Coturnix japonica: one gene and its partner. The protein of the gene in region 2 binds, or shares a complex with, the protein of the main gene of each other region. Links are inferred from orthologs where the notes say so. Each region holds a gene or a part of one and is shown on either strand. Other genes may lie near its edges. The genes, in order: NTRK2 and FRS2.

Region 1 (11,313 bases), on a different chromosome or scaffold from region 2:
TTACTATTTACAGGAATGGGGCTGAAGCTGTCAGACTAGTTTAACCCTTAATTCCTGCCAGGAACATTCAAGCTAGGAAGTCATTGACTCCATTCAATACCTTTTATATAACTAAATACTTCAAATAAAGTTGCAAAAATCAAGATGCTGGACCAATCCCAAGTTTCTCTTTAGTATTTCCTATGTAAAAACACGTCTTCTCAATCATCAGAACATCGGTTTTAACATTAAACTTCACCACAGTAATTTTGCACATTTACATGCAATTCATTATTTTTAAGGCAAACAGAGAACAACATAGTTGTTTTGATCCCTGTTAGAACAGGCTGTTGCAAATAAACTATTAGTGATCTATGTTATTCACTTGCATTCATGAAGTACATCAACTGCACTTTGCTTTTGTGTTTCTTTCTTTATGAAACTGACATTTTCAAAATAAAGCAGCAGCAAAAGACTCAATCCAAAAACATACTTTTGCAAAACAGACCCATGTTATTATGCCACATAAGCAAGATGCTACTTCTAAGGCATATTTAACATATTCTTTTACTTTGACAAGGTAATACGTGACTTGAATTCCTCTAGCTGAATTTTACTGTATAGGGTTGGTAGATGAATAAGGTTTCTTAAAAACAATTATTCTTGGTAAAATTCTCTCCAGCACTCAGAAGATGTTTTGGATCAACTTTGGCAACAGCTCTCAGAATAAAACATGAGTGTTTCCTGCCTACCATTTGCCATAATGTGTTCTCAAATAAGCAAGTTATCCTCAGCAAAAACAGCTACTCTGGAGTTCAAGAATTTTAGCAGATTAAAATTAGTTAAGAATCTAGCAAGCAAAGCTTGAAATTTCTCCTTCCAGACTTCAGTGTCTAAAGCAAAATTTTAATTTACAGCATTAACTGTAATGCCATTAACACAATCAAGCTTCACAGTGGTATTTCCTCCCCTCTCTTTTATGTGCACTGTTGATGCTAGCAATAAGCTTTAGACTTAGTTAGGTTTATTTTAGGTAGATTATCAGTGAGGGTTTTTTAAAATATTTTTATTTTTTTACCACAGTGCATTTGCCTGTAAGTAATGTTAATAACCAGAGAATCAGTTCAAAGCTCAGTGAGGGAGCCCCACCCCATGAAACATCAGGGTTGGTATTTAATTCAGTCATGAAGGCATGGAATTGAACATAATACCAGGGAGTGGGCCTTAATTTTCATACTTCATTGTACAATATGTGGGCCAAAAGAAGAAACTACACAGTAACGACAGCACTGAAAAAGTATTTTAAGGGTTTTGAAAAATCCCGACAGAGCTTTGAATAGTAATAGTAAATAATAATAACAATACTATGCATGGAGGATTTTCTTATTTTAGCCTTTGTTTTTATGACAGCTTCAGTAGGTGAGACAACAATGTAGTGAAATATTAGAAAGCTCAATGTCATTATCACAGAAAAAATGTCCTCTAACAAGACCAATATTGAGAAAGCTAACTAGATAAGCAATTTCGCTGTTAATTTTTAAGACTGGTTTGGAGAAATCAACCATGCATGATCTGATTTCTAATGCAGGTATGTCCTGTCGGTAAGTAGTTTAGTCTTCTCATACTGTTTTTGTGAAGCTTAATCCATCACAGAGCTTGGAAATGCTGAAAACCACAGCACAGATTATCTTGGAGACCTAAATTCCCTAGGAGTGTAAAAACAATGGAGTAAACAATAATACTATCTTTCTAATTGGGAAGATGCCTCCTGCTCTGTTTATTGATTTTAAAGGCTGGGAAATCTTCACTGTAAAGGAGAGAAGCACAAAAGCAAAACAGAACAGTAAGAGGGATATGGATCAAAGTCAAAAAATGATAAATTATTACAAGTGTATTAGAGGAACTGTTATTCTGTTAAGAAAATGAAGCCAGGTTCATAATAAATAGAGCGTGACAGAGCTTCCATTGCACAGAGAACATGGAGAAGGTGAACTGAGTTACTGAGCTGTTACAGCACAGTATCAGAGGATGCCAGTAGCTGGAATCATGGCATGTTCTTGTAATTAGTCTATTTAAGGAAGATCTGCAGAGAAGAAAGATAGGTCTAAAGACAGAAGGAGTAAAGAGGACCTGGCTATATTTGCTCTTCACCTTCTCTTTCTAAAGGGAAAAGAAGAGGACCTGCTACATTTTGCCCTGTAGCAGATTGAGCCGTTAGGTGCAAACACTAAGTACAGACCATATTTTTACTGTCTCTAGCCTGCCTGCCCTGCTGGAGAGAGAATTCACATCTTCTTCTGTCAGATAACACTGGCACTGCACATAGCTGTTTCAGAAAAGAAGGCTTTTCATATTCTGTGATTAAAAAGTCAAGGGTACACATATGCTCATATTTTCATATATGACTGTGCAATTATTTGCACTAAAACATGCCTGTATTTCACTCCTGCTGTGCATAGTCCACTCAGAGGTTCTTATAGATAGAATAATGAATTTGCACGTATGTCTTCATTCTCTTACAGGCACTTCACATACAGTTTTGAAGATGTGGGGAAATATCACACCACAAAGAACACCAATCACTGCCAGCAGTCCCTACAGTTCATTGAGTTAGTCTACCTTGAGCCCAATTATATACAGCTCAGGAGGGTTGAGGCAGAGCTTCTGGAGCAGAAGATGCACATAATTAACATTAACCATTTTGAGCACAGATATTCATAGCCACACAGGTTTCCAACCTCGGCTGAAACGAATGAGAATTTGACACCTAAATGCCTGTGACGACTTGAGACTTCCACCATCCCACCTCAGGATTGTTTTCTCTCCAGCTCCCTCTGGTGTCCTAAATAATCAGTTATTATCAACTCAGAGGACTGCAACAGTGATTTTGCCGTAATTACACTAGACACTATATGGGCACCCTGTGTCCTTTAATACACTGCATAGCTGAATTCAAACACGGTGTAAAACACTTGTGGAGTGCCAGAACTGGCACTCCATGCTTTCCAGGATCAGAACAGAGGCTTCAAAAAACACTTGAGAAGCAGCCACGTTTCTCAAGCCTCAGCTGGCAATGAAGAGGTAACCCAAAGGAAGACTTTAGAGAGCAGTAGCAGTCTCCACAGTCTCCACAGTTAAAGAAAAACATTACTTCACAATGGATTTTGAAGACATTTATCCACAGGAAAAAAACAAAACAAAAAAAACCAAAACACCAAAAAAAAAACAAAACACCAAAAACTTGCTAGAAGCACATTCTTATCAGTTTACAATGGCTAACATTAAAAGAATCATACTCACCATCTCCAGGCACTGACATGAAATGTGCGTCAACCCGTTTTTCATCCTCTCCATATTCATTCTTGGCCAATAAGGTATAAGCACCATTATTCAGGTGGGTAGGGTTGTCCAGCTGAAGGCAGCCGTGATATTCACTTTGATTGATAACATGTATTTTAGTACAGATGTATTCAGACTCATTCAATATAGCTCCTTCATAGAACCACTGCAATGTGGGCTTAGGATTCCCTTTCACAGTGAATGGAATGCACCAGTGGTGGTCCGGGGTTGGAGATTCAATAAATGTAATATTTGGTGCAACTATATTGGAAAAAAAGAGTCAACAACATCAGAATATCTGGAACTTGTCTTTTCCCCATTCCCTTAAGTCATATTTTTCATTCACAAGTATCACAGGAAGTAACTTGCAGGAATGATACCTATTCACATCACATTCAAACAGGACACTCATCAGCTCTGTGTAGGTTACTATGATTACAACTGAAACAAAGCCATTTTTCAAAAAAGAAAAACTAACTATTTTATCTGAAGACTGAACACCAGTTAGATCCCATACCTGCCAGGTGTGGGAAATTCAGTTTATGGAGAAGGAGAAAAGAGCAATTTTAGCTTTACTCTGCAGAAGAAAATGGTACAGAACAGGGCTGACTGAACAGAACAGCATTGGAAATATGTAAAAGTTGGCCCAAAGCAAGCAGTACTGGAAATATCCTCTGCCAGGAATCCAAACTTTCAGATGATTTCCCTCACAGAATCAAAGCCAGTACAGATGACTTCATTCCCTGGATTATTCTGTCAGGGAATGACCATTTTCTACTACACATTTTCTCATTCTTTATTCAAACCTGCTAAATGTCTCAACTTTACAAACTTGTTCTGTCTCCCTCAGGAGACTATTACAGCACCTTGCTTTTTATTTCACTATTGGGAAATTTTCCTTGATATTTATTCTTAACTGCATCCAATTTCATCTGGTTACATTCTTTTTTATCACTCATAACAGTGCCAAGCTTAGAATCTCATTTACACTGTTGAAACATTTCTAGTTTATGTTTCTTCCCATAGCTATTACATATCCAATTTCAACTTACAAGACATTTGAAGTACATCTATAGTGATTTTTTTTCTAATTTTCTCTGTCATGAACACATACTGAGCAATGTTTGCCATCTACAGAGAGTTCTGTTCCCATCTTCAATTAAACAGAGGGTTGCAACTTGTGAAAAAAAAATGATGTCTAGTTTGCACAAAATGAAATCAGGCTGGGATTTTTGATTAAAGCAGCCAGTTTCTCCATATCACATTCTCCTTACCCCGTCTTTGGCCCTGACAAAAAGTACATTATTCAAGCCATGACAAATAAATTTACATCTGGCAGTACAAACATTTCAAATGCATTATTTTCTGAACAAAGCAGTTGTTGCTCTAGATTATACAAACTTTAACATTTGCAGTCTCTTATGGTTAATTCTATGCATTCACACTTCTTAATTCCTAAGATAGTGTATATGTATATGCACACCACTACAAAACTTCCCACACTGGCAGTGGTTTTTAAACCACTGTTTACAGATTAACCTCTCTGAAGATAAAGCATTTGGAAATGTATTTTTGCAGAAGACAAACTCAGCAACTTCTGGCTGGGCTGTTCCCAGTACTAATGGCAGTAGGTTGTTCACATGCTTAAATGGTGCTCCTGTTTTAGCAACCTGTGCACCCCAAAGACATCTATACCCAAAAGAGCTGTTGCTGATGGGGTTTGGCCTGCTGCATGAGGGCCTGGGTACGTACAGAATACCGTCAGTTCGGCAGAGGTTTGGACCTCTCCCACAATGTTCTCCGCCACACACGAAATCCACAGTCCGCTGTCCATGGATGAAACATTCTTTATGGTTAACGAGGCAGGATTCTTACTTGTGTCACTCTACAAATGATCAGAAAAACATGCATGTATCAACTGCAGTCTAAAGAAACAAGAGAAAGGCAGGGAATCGCTGGCCACAGCTCAACAGCATTTTTTGCTTTCTTTTCTCCTTAGTTCTATCAATCTGTAAAATGCTACTTTGGCATCCTATCCAGCTAACATAAAACACGGAACCAATTGAAACTATCAGGGGCTGAAGTTTGAAAAGTGCAGTCATGCAGTAAACTCTGCACTCACCCACTTCTCTGTCCTGTCCCTGACAGTTCCTGCCTTTTCTGAACTCTTCTTCCCCTCTAGACAAATGTTTTCTTCTTCACTCATAGCCTTGTTCATCCCTCTCTTCCACTTCATGACTGATATCTATGGTATGTTCCTTCGCTTGAACTTTTTCTTCCTCCTTCCTTCTCTATCCTTGCTTTACTCTTTCTTTGGTCTCCTCGCACTTGTGTGACATTTCTTCTACTGCTGTGTTCTGAGCTCTGCTAAACCACAGTGTGTCTTCCCTCATCCCTTCCCTCGCCAAACTTCTCTTAAAATCTTCTTCCTCTCATAAAACAATTCATGAGAAATGACATACTTTCTAACACTTAAACTACTGCCCAAGTACTGTTTTATGTGTTTACATACTAAGGCTAATTAAAGTAAGAATTATAATTCTTAAAAATCTTGATTATTGTGATTCTTAGAAAGTTTACAGCATGTTTATAGCCTGAATGCTGTATTAAATATGCAGCTATGCTGCATTTCACAAAGTGAACAGGACTGCACTATAAAAAAATAGTAGCTAGCAAAACTAGTTGTCAAAGACAAGGTTTTCTTAAAAAAGGTCATTCACATGATCTCCAAATAATTACTATTTCCACACTTGAATATTTCATGAAATGCAAAGCTACTTCCTTAAAAATGAATAGAATCAAAACACATTTAGAGAATAAGAAATAACTTGTATTCTTTTTTTAAAAAAACTCCTTTTGAGGTACTTTTCTCAGTGTACACATACACGTCAGTGCTGCACAAACAGATAATGCACCTGTAAAAGCAGTGACTTTCAGCAGCAGTCAGTGGGGATGCACATGAATTGTTCTGCATACAGAACTAGAACTTTGAACCCTGAAGTGACACCTTAACCCCATATGAGTTAAATGCTCCACTGATATCAGTGTGACAGTGTGGGAGGCAGAGTGGAAAAGCCAACAGCTCACTGTACATTTCTCCACATGCAGCTCTCAGAGATGAGCAGCACTAAAAGGAAGATTCAGAGAAGGGGCTCCAAACACAGATTGATGGCTGAAATCTATAGCAAAAAATCAGCATAGAAGCTGAGAATGTGGTTTAACTCTGCAAGAATAAGGTACAATTTTAGCTTTTGTTAACATTCCTCTCTGTAAGACACAAAAGAGAGAAAAAGCAGGCAAAAACAGCATAGGAGGTGAAGAAAAGGGAGGCAGAAACACAAATACAAAAGTGAGAGGAATGAAACAAAAACAACACTCACAGAAAAGGGAAGGATAGGTTCAAATGAGAAATGAGGTTTAAAAGGCACTCATTCTTCCGCTACTGAAAAGACTACTGTGCTCCACAGCTAAAGTTGCAGCTAGGCTATGCCATGAGCCCCTCTGAAATCTCACACACAAAGTTATGCCAGGACAGAGTATTTCTGGAAACCTTGAAGCAAACTGAACTCGGCATTTCAAAGATAGGAGGATAAAAAATGAAGTGATCTCACTTCTTGAACAGCATCCCACATTTGTTTTGGCTCATAATTTTAAAAAAAAAAAAAAAAAAAAAAAAAAAGAGAGAAAGAGAAAGAAAAAGAAAAAGAAATAGAGAAAGAGAAAGAGAAAGAAAAAGAAAAAGAAATAGAGAAAGAGAAAGAAAAAGAAAAAGAAAAAGAAAAAGAAAAAGAAAAAGAAAAAGAAAAAGAAAAAGAAAAAGAAAAAGAAAAAGAAAAAGAGAAACAGACAAAGAAAAACAGACAAAGAAAAACAAAGAAAAAGTACAGCTTGGCATAGGTTCCCCAAACGGTTCTAATTTGTTGTCCTTTATGACAACTGGTGCCTTTGGGTAGTTTAACAGATTAGAGGAAAATTTAAAAATAAAACTAGAACTCTGCAGAATTCTTACTCATGAAAGCTGAAAGACACACTGGTCAAACCCTATGCAGACCAAATATAATGATATCAAAGCAGAAAGTGCAAAGATTAAAAGTTCCTAGAGGTTCTGGCACTTCTACACTACAGAAACAGTTTTAGAAGTATACACCTCACACTTTGCACATACTGGAAATATTCAGACCATCTGCATACTTGTGGACACCAGGATACCAATGGCAGAGAAGTGTAAATAACAGAAGGCCTTATCCGTGAAAATTATTGCAATTTAAGGGGTCAGCAACTGTATGTAGAAGACACTGCTCCTCATCAGTTTCTCCATCAGAACAAATTGTCAGTCTCCACTGCACACACAGTCCAAGACAAGGACACAGAACATAAAGATCATAGAAAACAAAATTCTCGCTGCCTGAATGACTTTGTTGAGGGACTGTCTTCACACTTCATAAGAAAATGCCATTTTGTTAGTAGCCTTTCAATTAACTTTTAGTCACCTTGACTTCCAAGACATCATTGTTGTTTTGTTTTGTTGAAGAAAAATGAAACAAAACACAAAATAATACTGACAATCAAAACTGTCAAATCAACAGGTAATCTGGTCACCAGGGTTTTGGCTTGAGAATGCAATACAGTTAGCAAGACAAAGCCTTTTTCATGATTAGGATATGTCAGATTTATTTTCTCTGTGTAGGTGCTGAGAAAGCACTTTTGTTTCAGTATCCTTATTCACTGTATAACCTCCAAGAAATCACAGTACTCTCATTTACAAATCTCAAGGAGCAAATGTTTGACATTTTCCAGAATCAGTGCAGCAGTTGGCCTGGGTGAAAAGTTACTGGAAAATAAATGTTATCCCAACATTAATCTTCATCTTTTTGATAAGAAATTAATTGAAGCTGGACATGAACCTTCATTCCATTTACAAACAGATATCTCTTCTCTCTGAACAGTCACCTCTTTTTATATGAAACTTACCTCATGGTTTGAAACAAGATTAGTGAGCACCCAGGACACGTTAGGGGGTGGCCCTCCTGTTGTATCACAATACAGCGTGATGCTCTTTCCTTCCACCACAGTGATGTTGTAATTGCTTAAGTTTGCTGAGGGTAAGTCTACGACAGAAACAACAAAAAAATACACACATGCATTTGCGTCTGACAGAAATAGATGCTGTTCATTTCTATAAAAACTCTGCAAGTGCACACGTCACTAAACTAGATATTCACTGTGGCTAGTTGCCCACAGTTCAGTCAGGGAGTCCAAATAGCATCTCTGGAAACAAATAACAATCTTTAAATTGCTACATAACATTTTTCTGCACTGCCTCCACTTTGCATTTTAAGGAAACATACCTTTCAGCTAATTTTAAGAGAAAATGATTCAGGTGGGTAAATAGAATTTACCTTCAGTTTTTAACTTAAAAATAACCATTCTCCCACTCATTTGCTAAAACCAGAAATTTAATCTAACTCTCTGTTACAGTTCCAAAGGAATCTTTGTTTTTGTTTTCCAGGATCTAACTGGCACTGTGGTGCTCTCACTACTCTCCACAGCACCAAGAGTAAAATCCCACCAGCCCAAAGTTTCACACAAGAGATTGCAGCCTTCCCTCTCATGCAAAGTTCACAGAAAGCACAACAAAGCCCAAGTATGAAGTGAGGGAAACAAAGCACTGAACAGATGAAACTAGAGAGAAAGGTCAGAAGTGTGGGTTGGCTATTGTACAGAGCTGCTGTATGAGGCACTCCAGCAGACAGCTGGTGCCCTCAGGAAAGCAAAAAAGCAGTATGATGGTACCAGGGAAACAGCCTAGACTTTGTAAGATCTAGGACTTCCCCTCCATCTCATAACTATAGACCACTTCACACCTCCATCTTTAGCGCCCAAAGCAATGGGAACTTTCAGAAGAATAATATATGTAATACGTGATGAGCATATCGAAACACACAAGGAATAATAGATCAACCACCTTCAAAAATAATGCCAGCAGTATCTGGCATTCTAGAACACAGGAGTGTCTTCTAGCACACAGGAACTCAATTGTCACATATTTCTTTACAAGGCAAATAATCATTCCTCATGCTAGAAACATCAGATCTTCCGTAGCTCATTCTATGCCTTTCCATGGAGCTATGCACTGTCCAAAGCCTTGCCCTCATTTATGAGGCATCATCTATCAGCCATTCCAGGCAAGTTTTAACCAGAGTTTATGATCTCAAATAACCTAACTTGTCTTCTATGCTCAGTGTGTATGCATGATCTTGCAACTACTATTCCTAAAACAACAGTCCTCTTTGTTTTATTTTATTTTCCTCACCTCTCTTGTAAATTAGAAAACTGTACTTTTATCACAGACTTGCAGGTATAAAAGTTTAAAGAGGAGCTGCTTTATGTATGTAAAAAGTCCCAAACAAAAAATTAACAGTCTTATTAGTGTGACATTTTAATATGTTTACTTAAACTTCAATAGAACTTACATGTACTGGAAATCTCAGGTTTAATTAGTTCATTAAAAATGAAATGAGAGGAACCAATAGCATAGAGAAGACTAATTGTTTTCCAAGCAGTTTTCTTGCCTATTAAGATCAGCACAAGTGTGCAATAACTTCTTAGACACTTCTACTTCTTTAAGCAGTAATATGATTCTCATTACATGCAACATGAATTTCTTCTGTTATGATCACTTTACAAATCATATGTTGAAGTTTACTGAGACAAAGCTGGACAAATTGTATGTTTTGATGCAGTGATCTGTTAGCGAAGGTAGCCATCTGCTCTCGCCTGCTGTGAATTCAAATTTCAGCAGTGTCTGTCAACTAGTACTGCAGGAAATAAAACTAATCTTAAGGAACATTTGGATATTAATTACACTGGTTGAGGAACAAGGAGTGAAGTAATGAGATCATCTACCACATAATGTTATCCTTCCACACTACTTTGAAAAACATTCCAATCGCTTTTGCCAGACCTGAAAGTACAAAGCCTGTCAGGCTCCCTTCTTCAGCCATTACCGGGGACAAAGTATACATAATAAATTGATGTTTCACAGTGCAAACCTTAATGGTTACTACCAGCACATGATTTTACATGAAACCTCTCATATAAGCAAAAAGAAACTTTGGTCCCTTAAAACTCTCCTTCAATAGCTGTTAAATTCTGAAACAATCTCTTCCTACTGTATGTTTATTTATAAGGCAAACAACGGAAAATGAATTCCTCTGGTACTGACTCTGTGGGACCAAGCCACAAAACCTGAACCAACAAAGAAATGCATATAAAAACACACTGCACCCTAACAGACACATATGCTCAGTATGTGTGCTCAGCATAGTGTGAGACCATTTATAAGAGTCTGTAGCATTTTGACACCTACACAATCACAAAGATATCCACCCATGCTGCAGTTCTTCTTGACTTAATTTGACTAAATACAGCATTTTAGATAACTATCACTTAAGTTGATATGGATGTACATTTTAAAGGACTTTGTATATAGTAATTAATACAAGCAGTCAAACAAGTTCAGATAGTTTTGTATACTGCCAGCACAGATTTTAGGCAGTACCAGAAGAACCCACGCAAGGTAGACATGACATCATCTTCCCGCAAGTCTCATCCTGATATCTGTCAGACAGAGATTAACCTATGCCCCAAAGCCTGAAACATAATATCTCTCTCAAACTTTGATAACATTAATTATTGTAATTCTGGATATCAGTAATAATCCTGCTAGTATACAATTTATTTTTCTAAGTTTGTTCTATTCATAGCTTTCTGCAGCAATGAGCTATACCTTCCAAGAGGTAAGCAAGATCATTCCATTTAACTACTTTCAAAATTTGTCTCTGAAGTTCAGATTTATTGAACTCCTGCACAGTTGTGAGAGAATAGAAGTCTCTCAATCTTCTTTTTAAGACCACTTTTGTTGTTGTTGTTGTTATTCTCATGTCCCTTTTCTTAATAAATTTCTCAACACAACATCCAAACGTTTCTTGAACA
Region 2 (12,048 bases):
TTGCAGGACTGCCTGATTGGCATGTATTACTCAAGATATCTCTAAGCATAGGCCTAACAATATTATAACACTAAATAAATAACACAGAATCATAGAATGGTTTGGGTTGGAAAGGGCCTTTAAGACCATCTAGTTTCAACCCCCTTGCTGTAGGCAGGGATGCCTCCTTCCAGACCAGGCTGCACAAAGGTCCATCCAGCCTGGCCACAAAATTCAGTGCTTAGAGAAGAATTTATTAGGTAACACTAAATATAATGTTAGCTTGTTCATTACTTTTTGAGATGTAAAATGTCCCAGCCAAATGCCTTTTGCTAACAAAGATAAGTGGAATGGCATCCTTCCCAGCCAAACTGCAAACAAAAAGGATGCTTTCTCACTAAAACCAATGTCATGGCCTAAAACATATACTGTAAATGAAGAAAAGAGGCATTCAAATTCACAGGGAGCATCCACACATTTGCTAATTAAATGCTTTTAGGACCCTTAAAGGCCAATAGTTTTTGAGTAAGACCAAAGCCAGCTACACAAACACCACATGGACTGATACAAAACTTTCAGCTTACTTTGGCATTGCTGTTGGTGTACCTAATAAAATTAACACTAGAGCTGCCATTGCTGTTTCATAGTTGTTGCTGTACACATTGATAAGCAATACACAGCCCATGCTCTCAAGGCCTGGAAGGCTACTCAGTGGTCTTAAGGATAAGGAAACACAAGGCAGCTGCTATGACTAAGAAGTGATTCATGACTATTTAATTCTACCATCCTGGAACTTTGCAAAGACAGGTACAGCAAGCTAAAGTAGTTACACTACTGTAATCGCTGTAATTCAAAGCAAAGTCTAAATGATCAATAGGGAAATCGCAAGTCATTTGTGATCCAGCTCTCCATAAGACATGAAGAAATATGTAAGAGACAGGTGGTTTTTCCTATATATTAATAAAGGAAAAGAAAAAAAAAAAAATTGCTTCTGCTGAAACCAACCTTTGCTTTGCAATAAGCATGGCATCCAGTGCTATGTTTATTGCAGATTTAATTCCATTTGTGTGTCATCTAAAGAGAAGCTCCAGACTTAACAGACTTGTCTTGCCCAATAAAACTTCTAAAGTGCAGCAAAGAATATTTACTAACTGAAACCACGTATGAAGGCCACAGAATGTGACAGTGTACTCCCACAGCAAAGTCTAAAACACATCACTAGTGCTTCTTTCCTACTGCAGAGTAAGGAAGTACAGCCATCAGACAAGAGAATGAAATCTGGAAGACATACAGCAGTGTAATTGTTGTAGGTCTGTGTATTTTTATTCATTTACTTTTAATGGAAGTGCATGCATACCCCAGTAGATAAAAGTGTAGTTTATCTGTATAACAGAGACACAGTGGGAGGGTACCCTAATAACCCAAAGTCAGAGATGTAATCATTTTCTCTTGTAGCAGCATTAGCATATATGATAATATATATGCTATCAATTATGTATGATAATACTCAGAAGTTTCCTAAATCAAAGTGGAGGACATGCCGTGGTACATGTAAGTGAAGAGATAAGACTGTGAGTAGCAAGGCAAGGGGAGAGCATGATGTGGAAAGACAAGATGCAGACTGTTCAGACTCAAAGACAACTAACACAGACTTGATGAAGGAAACCAGCAGACAGGCAGACTATTGAAACATCTTCCCAGCTGCACCTTACACCGATGGCAGAGATGTGAGTTTCAAGAGAGGAGGGAGGAGATACAGATACAGGTTTGTTAAGGCCAAAAAAGAAGATGTAATCTTGGGAGATGCTGTTTGGATAAGGAAGAAGGATAGGAATTAAATCTGACTGCGGATTGAAGGAGAAGGGGAAAAAAAGAGGGCAACTCCCTAACTACTGCCCTGGGCGACAGAGGATTACAGTGCTGTCAGCAGCACTGCAGAGAGCAAATGAGTTAAGTTAGAGAGGGATGATAATGAACTCCGAGGCATTCAAAATGTTTATGATAATAAGAAGCACTGCAAGGAAACGCAGGGCTGAATGAAGGCATACAGAGCCACGAAGCTCCACAAAGAAATGTGGTAAGCTAAATCAAGGAGATAAGATGCAACCTTCCCATAAATTCTGCACATGCCAGGATCACAGGAGGACAGAAGATGCCCACAGCAAGCAGCACTGCAGGCCCCTTGTTCCCAAGGAGGGACAAGGCCTCGGCACCCCAGCAACCTTCCACATGTCCTGTCTTCTCCTACTCCCACCAAACTACAGCGGCTCTTAGCTCTTATGCTAAAAGCATAACTGCACTTGGGAAATGTAAATACGAGCTTGGTCTGTTACCATCCCACCTGAGAGATGTGTGATAACTATTCCTGGTACAATTACTGCAGTCACTTAAAAGGAAAGGTTTATTTTATTTTAAATGAAATTATTCATCTAATTACACGCTTTAAACAGTGCTTGAATTTAGGAAAAAAATACAGTCAGATACAAGGCAAAACCTAAGAGGAGCATTATACCCCCTGCTTCTAATGGCTAGTTGAAAAGGCTAAACCTCCTGGGTGACAGCAAGGATTAACGTGAGTTTCAGTATCTTAATAATTAAACAAAACAACAATAACAAATATACAAAAACAAAGAGACAGGGTGTGTGTGCAAAAACCAAATCCAACTTGCAGTCTCCAAGACGTCAGAATACTCGTAACAAACGTCCCTGGAGAAGCAGCCCTCCCCGTGTTTGCTTGGTATCTTAACTTGCCTTTGGTTTCAAAGCCCTGTGCTTGCCAAGAGCTATTCCTTTCAAAACCTCAGGAATTCCATTACTAGTTTTAAGCTAAATTAAAGGAAAATAGAAGCATTCAATGCATGGCAAAAGTATGCACACAGCGTTTGTTGATGCTCATAAATAGACTGAAAAATGTCAACGTCTGAAGGATAACTGCTGCACAGTCAGCTCTGTTTGTGCTGCACAACTATGTAAAAAGCTGCTGTTGTCACCTCAGAAAAGCTCAGCAGAAGAGACGCTGCTATCACAATGGAATACAGTTTGCTCTAGATCATTCACTTTTCACTCAAAGCTTCTATGTAAACCAGAGTTTGTTTTTTCTGCAGAAGACAGTGGGAGTTCCCCATGTAAAGCTGCTGCTTCAACATCTCCGCTTGGGGAAAAGATGGCATCATATGCTAAGGAACAGCAAAACAAGTCAACTCTCTGCCTGCCAAATATCTGACGAATTATGAAACCAACACGTTCTGTCTCAGAAATACGACAAAAGCCTATAAGAATTTTATATTTTCCATCTCATATTGGTGATCTTTCCAATGTTTAGATAACAAACACAGCGTTACCACGATCGTTTTTACTGACTGCCTTACAGTAACGCTGCGATGTCCCCATCTGTACGTCATGCAAATGTCACGTTAATGCACAAGGTAATATCTCAGTCCAAAGAAAATCTGCCTGCAAGACAACTGTCTGATGTGCGGAGGAAAATCCTGGCAGGTAAGAGCCACTTTGTGGTTGCAGGAATTCAGTGGACCTGTTTGATGACGTTTTGCACCTTCCACCAGAAATACGGGAATTCAGGTACCAGCACGCTGCACAGAGGGTCTATTTTCTCCTTGTGAAGGCAGGAAATTAAAGCAACTTTTCACCACTGAGTCAGCACACAGTAACGGGTCAGTGGTTTACAGCAACCGTCACCACCATAGTGATGACAACAGCAGCATCTCAACGCTGCCAGGACCAAAATCATTAGGAAGAGAAGCCAAGGGAAAGAAGTCTGATCCTCTGACTCGAAGTGCTAACGGAGACCCAGTCTCTTCCATATTCAGAGCACAGAGCAGAACTCCTCTCACTTTTCCAGATATGCCAATTGCCCAGTAATCCTCACAAGCATCTCATGTATAAGATTTCTGAATCAGAACTGCCTGAATGGAAAAGGTGTACAACAAAAAAGCAGTAAAGCAAGAAATACCCAAGAGTGGCTTTGATGTAAGAACATACTTCTGAGACCTTTGGTGAAATCTCAGTTCAATAACCTACCAATGCAGAGGTATTCCTACCAACAGCCAGCACTGGATGAGAAGCTTTACAGCAAAAGGAAGGAAATGAGGTTCTGCAAGAGGAGGTGGCAGCTCTGCTAACTGTGGTAGATTCTACAAGTTAAAGCAAAGGCAGCCATGGTGGCAACAGCATGTGCAACCACGTTCTGCTTGCAGTAACCAAGAGGAACACATTATGTAACACAGAACTTCTTTATGGTGAGGGTGACGGAGCACTGGAACAGGCTGCCCAGGGAGGTGGTGGAGTCTCCTTCTCTGGAGATATTCAAGACCCGCCTGGACGCCTACCTGTGTGACGTGGTGTAGGGAACCTGCTTTGGCAGGGGGGTTGGACTCGATGATCTCTAGAGGTCCCTTCCAACCCCTACAATTCTGTGATTCTGTGACTTGTCAACTGAGATCCAGGTGAAAAGTTTGGGGATTATCCTGGGCCACCTGAGTGTGAGCAGCACAGTAAGAACAGCTCACATGGCAAGAACTTCAGTGCACTCCAGATGGATGCGAAAGCGTTTCAGAAGAACAAATAGGACATGAAACTAAAGGATTCAGAAACAAGGGAAGGAAATAGTAATCACAACAACACTTCCGCTAATTAGGAAAGAATACATACAGTCATTCTCAAACATGCAATAATCATGACATTGTGTTGTATAAACATCAGAAGAAAAGCTATTAGTTCTCTTATTAAAGCGATTTCAAGCCTGAGGGAAAGACTGAAATTCTAGAGAATCACATGGCTCCAGGAAAATGGGCTTTAACAAAGAGCCAACTCAATCAGCTGCTGTGATTGCTGCCACCCAGACTGAGACAGTGAAGAGGAATCTGAAGAGAGTGCTTTAATGGAGAATGCTTGACATGCGCACCCACACAAACGGATGCTTACACACTTACATGAGGAACAACTACACACCAGTTTATAATCTGTTCAGGTCTGAAATGAAAGTTTACATATAGCTCTGATTACACAGAAAGGGCAACAACAACAACAGAAAGAAAAAAGAAAGCGATGCTTAAGAGTGGACGAGGCAAAGTCTGTTATGTTATACCTGCTCCTGTACCACTTCTGCTCAACTGATAAAACACCTGCCTATGCTGCATGGAATTACACCTCTGGACAGCAGTTTTCAACTGTCTGAAGCCAACAGCATTAAGTCTCAGGTCAGCCTCAGCATTTTCATCCTTTGTTGTTACCGTCATTCAATTTACTTATTATTGCAGAACATCACGCAGGTTTCTTTGCACATACTGGTAACTATCTTCTTTTCTCAGTCTTTATGTTTAAAAGCTCAATGCACACACACAACAAATTCATTGTCTCAAAAATCCGACAGATGAACAGCAGTTATAAGACTCCTCACTTAAAATCCCTTCAAAATGCACACTGAAATCATAGTCGCACTGCCACAGATTAAAGGATCTCAGATTTTAAGCATGCTGACAAACCACAACCAAACGATGCATCCAGACCCTCCGTGCTCAACCCAAGCTCAGCTTCACCAAAGTCAGCCAGGATCAAGCACACTCCAGGCTGGCACAACTCATCCCCATTGCCAGAAGCAACCTGTTCCCCTCACACCCCATTGGGTGCACCTCGACCCAGTGCTGCACAGGCACCGGCCTGTGCCTAGGAGCTTGAGAGCAAAGAGGACCAACTGTATCCTCCTGTGGTGGAGATGGTCCATGACAGCAACACATTCACACGAAGTAGTTGAGTCCCAGCTGAAGTCCCACAGTGCTGGCTACAGGTCAAGGCCCAGGCAGCCCTGCTCTTCCCCTCAAGCACGTGAGTCCCACCACCACTTTCACAAAACACCCCGTCCCTACCTCACAAGGATCCAGCCCAGAGCATCATCAACCAAAAGACACAGAACGAATCATAGAATGGTTTGGGCTGGAAGGGACCGATCCATATCCAACCTCCTGACGTGGGTAGGGTTGCCATCCACTAGATCCAGCTGCCCAGGGCCCCATCCAACTTGGCTTCAAACACCTCAAGGATGGAGAATCCCCAGCTCCTCTGGGCACCCTACAGAACAAGCCACTTGCCGTCACCAGCCCAGCTCCACAAGCTGGCACTCCCAGCACAAGGGGTAACCAGGGGCAGGCTGAAAGCAGAACATCCAGTCTTAATCCACAGCTGATGCTGCAAAGTGCACCTGTGTACCGCCCTATTTTACATTTCAATTTGCCACAGCAGCTCAGCGTGATGATTCTAATACATTTCTTTTGGAGTTCAAACGTCAGCAGCCTTGTAAACCGCTCTGCTGAGGAATGAATTTCAGACGCCACTCAAAGAACTGTACTGCTCAAACTGTGAGACTCAGGGCTCATAGAAGTGAATAGTGCTGACTGCAGGATCAGATCCCCTACTAAGCATGGACATCGCTGCTTTCAAGGTGATCTTCGAGAAGTAAATTATTATAAGTAGTAGTGCACACTGACTGCGAGAAATAACCTTGCAAACCTACAAGCAATTACATTTATTACTGCATTGGTAGATTGAAAAGGGAATCGTGAACAATTAATTTTGACTACAGCCAACCACCAGCATTCGAGACAAGACACTGAACTGGAAAGTGAGCAAAAAGCTGCTTAACCAAATATAAATACAACCACTGGGACATTGTTTCAACAAGCATTTTCAAAGCATTCTTGATACGTAGGCAAATAAACCCAGGGCTTCTCAGTCAAGAAATAACGTTCTTAATCACTTTCCATTTGTGATGCAGGGAATATTTTTGGACCTGAACTGGTGACTCACACTGATATCAATGCACATTTGTCTTGAAGCAGGCTCCAACACCGCCCGCAGGATGGCTGTGCTGCTCAGACACACTTGTAAACTGAGGGAAACAGCCAGGGAGCCTCGCTGGCAGTTCTGCTGATCCAGACAAACAAACAGATCTGAATCTGGATTTACTGGATCTGAATGTTTCTTCATATCGACCCGCTTCTAAAGCAGAGATGAATCTTAGGGAAATTAGGTTTTTGTTCTTTTAAATACAAAAGTACTGCAGAGCCAGCAGTATGGACTGAATGAGAGTCATCATACAGAATGATTTATCACTAACACTGTTAAAGCAAGATACAATACGGCTGTGCTTTCTCATTATGCTAAATGTCACTTTGTCACTAGCACTATAAGTAAAATAAAAAGCTAAGAGACAGCACGGTGTCATCTCTTACCAACTGCCCAACATCATCCTAACCTCTTCTCACCATCACCACCCCTCGTGCTTTGATGCTGAGCAGGACACGGAGACCATGAAGCCAAGAAAGCGTCTCTGTCTCACCACGGCTCGGGCAGAGAACCGATGCAGAGCGGTGCCCAAACCCCTTCCGACCTCCGTGATCCCCCACATCCACATCGCAGAGAGCCGGGAGCAGCGGCCCAGCTTGACAGCTGGCCATGTCCGACCCGTGGCACCGTGCAGGCCGGGCGGGCACGGCCGCTCCCGCATTCCGCTCCTGCCCCCGGCAGCCCCCACCGCCAGCCCGGCCCGGCCGCCTCCGCTTTTGTTCCGACCCCGCTCCCTCCGTCCGTCCCCTCCCGCCCGCGGTTCCCGGCCGCAGTCCCGCCCGCCCGCGTCGCCCCGCCGGCCCCGCACACTCCGGCGGGGAAGGAGCGCGGCCCCGGCCGCGGGGCAGGGGCGAGGGGAGCCGGCCGGGCGCCCCGCGAGGCGAGGCCGGGACGGGGACGGGAGCGGCGCCCGCACCCACCTCCGCCATGAGCCCGCGCCGGCCGCCGAGCCCGGGGCCGGGCCGCCTACCACGGGCGAGAGGCGGCCCCGCGTCCGCGGCGGGGAACGGCGGCGCCTCCCGACAGCGGCGGCGACAGGGCCTCGCTCTGGGCCGGACTCAGCCGCACAGCTTCCGGAGCACGGCGGGAACGCCTTCCGGGGCGGCACGGCCCCGCCGAGCCCCGCTCGGGCTCCTCACCGCTCCGTGTGGGTCCCTCAGACGGTGCCGGCTCACAGGCCGACGGGCGCGGCGGACACGGGGCGAGGCGGCTTCGTAGTCAGCGGTTGAACGTGAATGTCCGTTGTCTCTTTGACAGTTCAGTTCTCCATCTTCTATTGGTTGCTGGTCCTATCTACAGTCATTTTTCATCATCCCAGACTGAGATGACTGCTCGTCCATTGAGATGCGCTATAGATGCCATTCTTTTGAAGACTGCTTGCAACTGTCTACAAATTATGAACCAACGTTGCTTTAAGTCACAGAATCACAGAATGACCCGGGTTGGAAGGAACCTCAAGGATCATGTAGTTCCAACCCCCTGCCTGGCAGGGCCACCAAACATACACCTTTACTAGATCAGGTTGCCCAGGGCCCCGTCCAACCTGGTCTTGAACACCTCCAAGTTCTTTGATGGCATTTTCAGTTCTGTTCTACATCACTCGGAACTTCCTTTTAATCAGCTTTGAAAGCAGAGACAACTTCTGTACACTGTAAGATTTATCATGGAATTTGGCCTTAGATTATTGCCCTTGCCTGTAAGCTACTTTAAAAATTAAAGACTATTCAGTTCTGTAATCAAGAGAGCAGCCCAACCGTATGTGAACTGTTATCAGTAGATTTATCTCATTAATAAAGTTTTGCCTTACTCATATTCTTAACTCCTGGGTCTGACAAAGAAGGAACTCTGAGGGGATGGAATGCCAGATTGCATTTCTGGAGTGTCCTTTGGATTCCATCCCATTTCACGTCTCCTCTAGTGGGCAGCCCTTTCTGATCAGCAAGAGTTGTGTACACTTCAGCATCAATACTGATCAAAGCCTTGGAGATGGATACCAGTTTCCATCCTAAATGTTTCAGCTACACACTGAAACATAACAGGCACCACCTAACTCAGCTGTAGGTGAGGGCTGTTATATAATGGTTCCTTTCAGGGTTTGTGACTCAGCAGCAAAAGCATGTTCCTGGCTGAAGTGTGGTACAGCATCTCGCTCTCTTTCTCTGTTGTAAGATGCTACCTAGGAGTGGAGTTTTATTCTATCAGTTCCAAAGTCCATTTGACACTAACAAAAACTTATTAAAAACCAAAAAAACAAAAAACTCTATAGCAAACATTTCAGGAGCTGGAAAACAGATTTATAAAGAGAGAGAGCGGGACTTATTGTGTTAGCTGAACAGAGCAACACTGGTCACATTCTGCCTCTCCTCATGTGTGGCATGCTAAGTAGAATGACCCTTTGTATGTCAAATCAAGAAGTTGTTGTTTTCACAGTCAAACAAAGCCCTTGCATACAGTAATGGCCATGTAGCAGCCTCTTATGGCCCGATCTGCTCTTCTTCAGAAAAAATCCTATCCCCAGGGAGTTCATACTATTTTTTTTTTTCAGAAGAATGAAACTGAGCCAATAATTTAAACCAGTGGCTCACTGCTTCATTAATAATTTCATCATTAGTTACATTGTCAACATTTCAGTTAAAAATGAAAGAGAGAGAGAGAGAGAGAGAGAAAGAAAGGGAAGGGAAGGGAAGGGAAGGGAAGGGAAGGGGAGGGGGGAAGGAAGGAAGGGAAGGGAAGGAAAGGAAGGAAGGAAGGGAAGGGAAGAAGGGAAGGGAGGCAGGGAAGGGAAGAGAAGGAGCGAAGGGAAGAAAGGAAGGGAGGAAGGGAGGGAAGGGAAGGGAGGGAAGGGAAGGAGAGGGAAGAAAGAAAGAAAGAAAGAAAGAAAGAAAGAAAGAAAAAGAAAGAAAGAAAAAAGAAAGAAAGAAAGAAAAAAAGAAAGAAAAAAGAAAGAAAAGAAAGAAAGAAAGAAAGAAAGAAAGAAAGAAAGAAAGAGAAAGAAAGAAAGAAGAAAAGAAAGAGAAAGAAAGGAAAAAGAAAGAGAGAGGAAAGAAAGGAAGGAAGTGAAGGAGGAAGGAAGGAAGGAAGGAGAAGGAAGGGGTAAGGAAGGAAGGAAAAGGAAGGAAGAAAGGAAGAGGAAGGAAGGGGAAGGAAGGAAGGAAGGAAGGAAGGAAGGAAGGAAGGAAGGAAGAAGAAAAGGAAAAAGGAAGGAAGGAAGGAAGGAAGGAAGGAAGGAAGGAAGGAAGGAAGGAAGGAAGGAAGGAAGGAAAGAAGGATAAGAAAGAAAGAAAGAAAGAAAGAAAGAAAGAAAGAAAGAAAGAAAGAAAGAAAGAAAGAAAGAAAGAAAGAAAGAAAGAAAGAAAGAAAGACATTGCTTCTGTACAGTTTAATTCACACAATGAAACCCCTCCTGAAGTGACTGCTGGAATCTGACAGATCTTCTGTACTTATTCCTGTCACATCTGGGGAAGAGTGGGGTAGGAATTACACAGATCATTGTTGGTATTGCAGTGGGTTTTTCCTCAGATTGGCTTCATCTTGTACACTTGTACCTCTATGTACCTCTGATATGGTTAGAGGATACATGAGCTCTAAGTAATGTGCTGTGATGGAGATGACACTTGCTGTGTGTATTGATCTATACAATTTCACAGAATCATAGAATCATTACAGTTGGAAAAGACCACTAAGCTCATGAAATCCCAGCACCACCATGCTGACTAAACCATGATCCTCAGTGCCACGTTCACTCTTTTCTTGAACACCTCCATGGATGCTGACTCACCACCTCCCTGGGCAGCCTGGTTCAATGCTCTTTTGGAGAATACCAAACTTGAACCTCCGCTGGCACAACAGGAGACCATTCCCTCTCATCCTACTGCTGTTACATGGAAGAAGAGGCCGCCCCCCACCTTGGCACAACCTCCTTTCAGGTCATAGTGGAGAATGATCTGCTCTCCTTTGAGCCTTCTTCCTCCAGAGCAAACAATCCCAGTGAGTAGCAAAAGCATAATTTTCATCTCAGGTATTTTCTCTGACCTTATTTTAGGCTAAGCTTGATGGCTGAGATTTTATGTGTTTTCCTCCTTCAGATGCTGGATACTTAGTCCCTTGCCCATTTGAACACTGGAAGTCTCAAAGACATTATTACTGTGAGTGAAGCTGCCTCTTGGGCCTCCCAAGTTCTACAAATTCAGCTTGCTTCACAAGTGAACGTTCTGCTTAACTGAATTGAACTGTTTTCATTTCCCCCCAACAAAGGCTGCCACATGCAGCTCCTGTAACTTCTTGCTGGCTGCTTCCCAAGGAGCAGCACCAATGTGCTGACTGCAGAATGTGTGCACGGCTGTTTCCAACTAGTCCACGATAACCAACTGGGATGTAAATCTAATTCAAGCCAAAAAAAAAAAGCTACACTATGTCGCAATAACATTTGAGAACAGATTTTGTCAGATGAAAGCAAGGAAATTCCGTGTGAAGACTGCTGCTATGCCCTTCAATCCCCCCATGGTGCTGCAGAGTTTCAGGGCCTCAGAGATGTGCACATTTAACTATGAAGTTTGTACAAAACAGCATTTGAAGAGCATCAACACAATGTCAGACTTTTAAAAATGAGGCAACTTGTGCAACTGCAAATGGGCTCCTTTGTGAGCACGAAGCAGAGGGAATTAACCACATGTAATAACGCTCAGTTTTTGCAGTTTGGAAACCTTTCCTCAATCAGGACATGGAATGGATGCCTCTCACAGGAAAAGGCAGCTGGTTATTTTAAATCTCTGCATGCAGCATGTGCCCTTTGCCTTATTTATTTATTCGTTCAGTGAGTAACTACTTTGGTATTCTTAGGGCATTTGTCATTGTATTAGTTGATATGTCATTAGCATTAGTGGGATTATTTCTGCATTCTGTCTTCCAGTGGAAGAGTTATCGCTGCATGTTACTTACAGGGGAGCATGGGCGAGGTGTGGGGGGGCCTTGGTGCTGCGTAGCTCAGTGTTGTGGCACTGATCATTAAAAGATTGTCCTTCTTAGTGGAGTTGGTGGGTCTCAGTCCATGTTTCCCACATGGAATGTGGTGAAGGCAGCTGGAGGAATGGGATCACATGGGATCCAAACAAGAAGCTGGCTCAGCTTCTCCCTGCAAGAGACTGATGACGTTTGTGTGACTTCAGGCACAGCACTTGGATTCAGTGCCAAGGAATCTTGGAATATAGTGCT

The links.
Region 1: the proteins of FRS2 (region 2) and NTRK2 are in contact, whole or in part, in an NMR structure (PDB 2MFQ), measured with the Homo sapiens proteins. The link is inferred for Coturnix japonica from reciprocal best matches to the Homo sapiens genes FRS2 and NTRK2. Residues at the interface, in NP_001036020.1 of Homo sapiens: Val26, Asp27, Asp28, Asp29, Gly30, Tyr59, Leu60, Cys61, Leu62, Arg63, Arg64, Tyr65, Gly66, Tyr67, Asp68, Ser69, Asn70, Leu71, Phe72, Ser73, Gly77, Arg78, Ile86, Ala88, Lys90, Phe98, Gln102, Met105, Gln106, Ser109; in NP_001018074.1 of Homo sapiens: Pro498, Asp499, Val501, Ile503, Gly504, Met505, Thr506, Lys507, Ile508, Pro509, Val510, Ile511, Glu512, Asn513, Pro514, Gln515, Tyr516, Gly518, Ile519.

The regions. Positions count from the first base shown.
Region 1 is NC_029547.1:36,493,832-36,505,144, reverse strand, and holds part of NTRK2 (BDNF/NT-3 growth factors receptor), read right to left. Parts: intron 8,427-11,313; coding exon 8,290-8,426; intron 5,204-8,289; coding exon 5,071-5,203; intron 3,580-5,070; coding exon 3,280-3,579; intron 1-3,279. UniProt on the Homo sapiens protein: Receptor tyrosine kinase involved in the development and the maturation of the central and the peripheral nervous systems through regulation of neuron survival, proliferation, migration, differentiation, and synapse formation and plasticity.
Region 2 is NC_029516.1:32,155,828-32,167,875, reverse strand, and holds the start of FRS2 (fibroblast growth factor receptor substrate 2), read right to left. Parts: upstream 7,904-12,048; 5' UTR 7,758-7,903; intron 1-7,757. UniProt on the Homo sapiens protein: Adapter protein that links activated FGR and NGF receptors to downstream signaling pathways.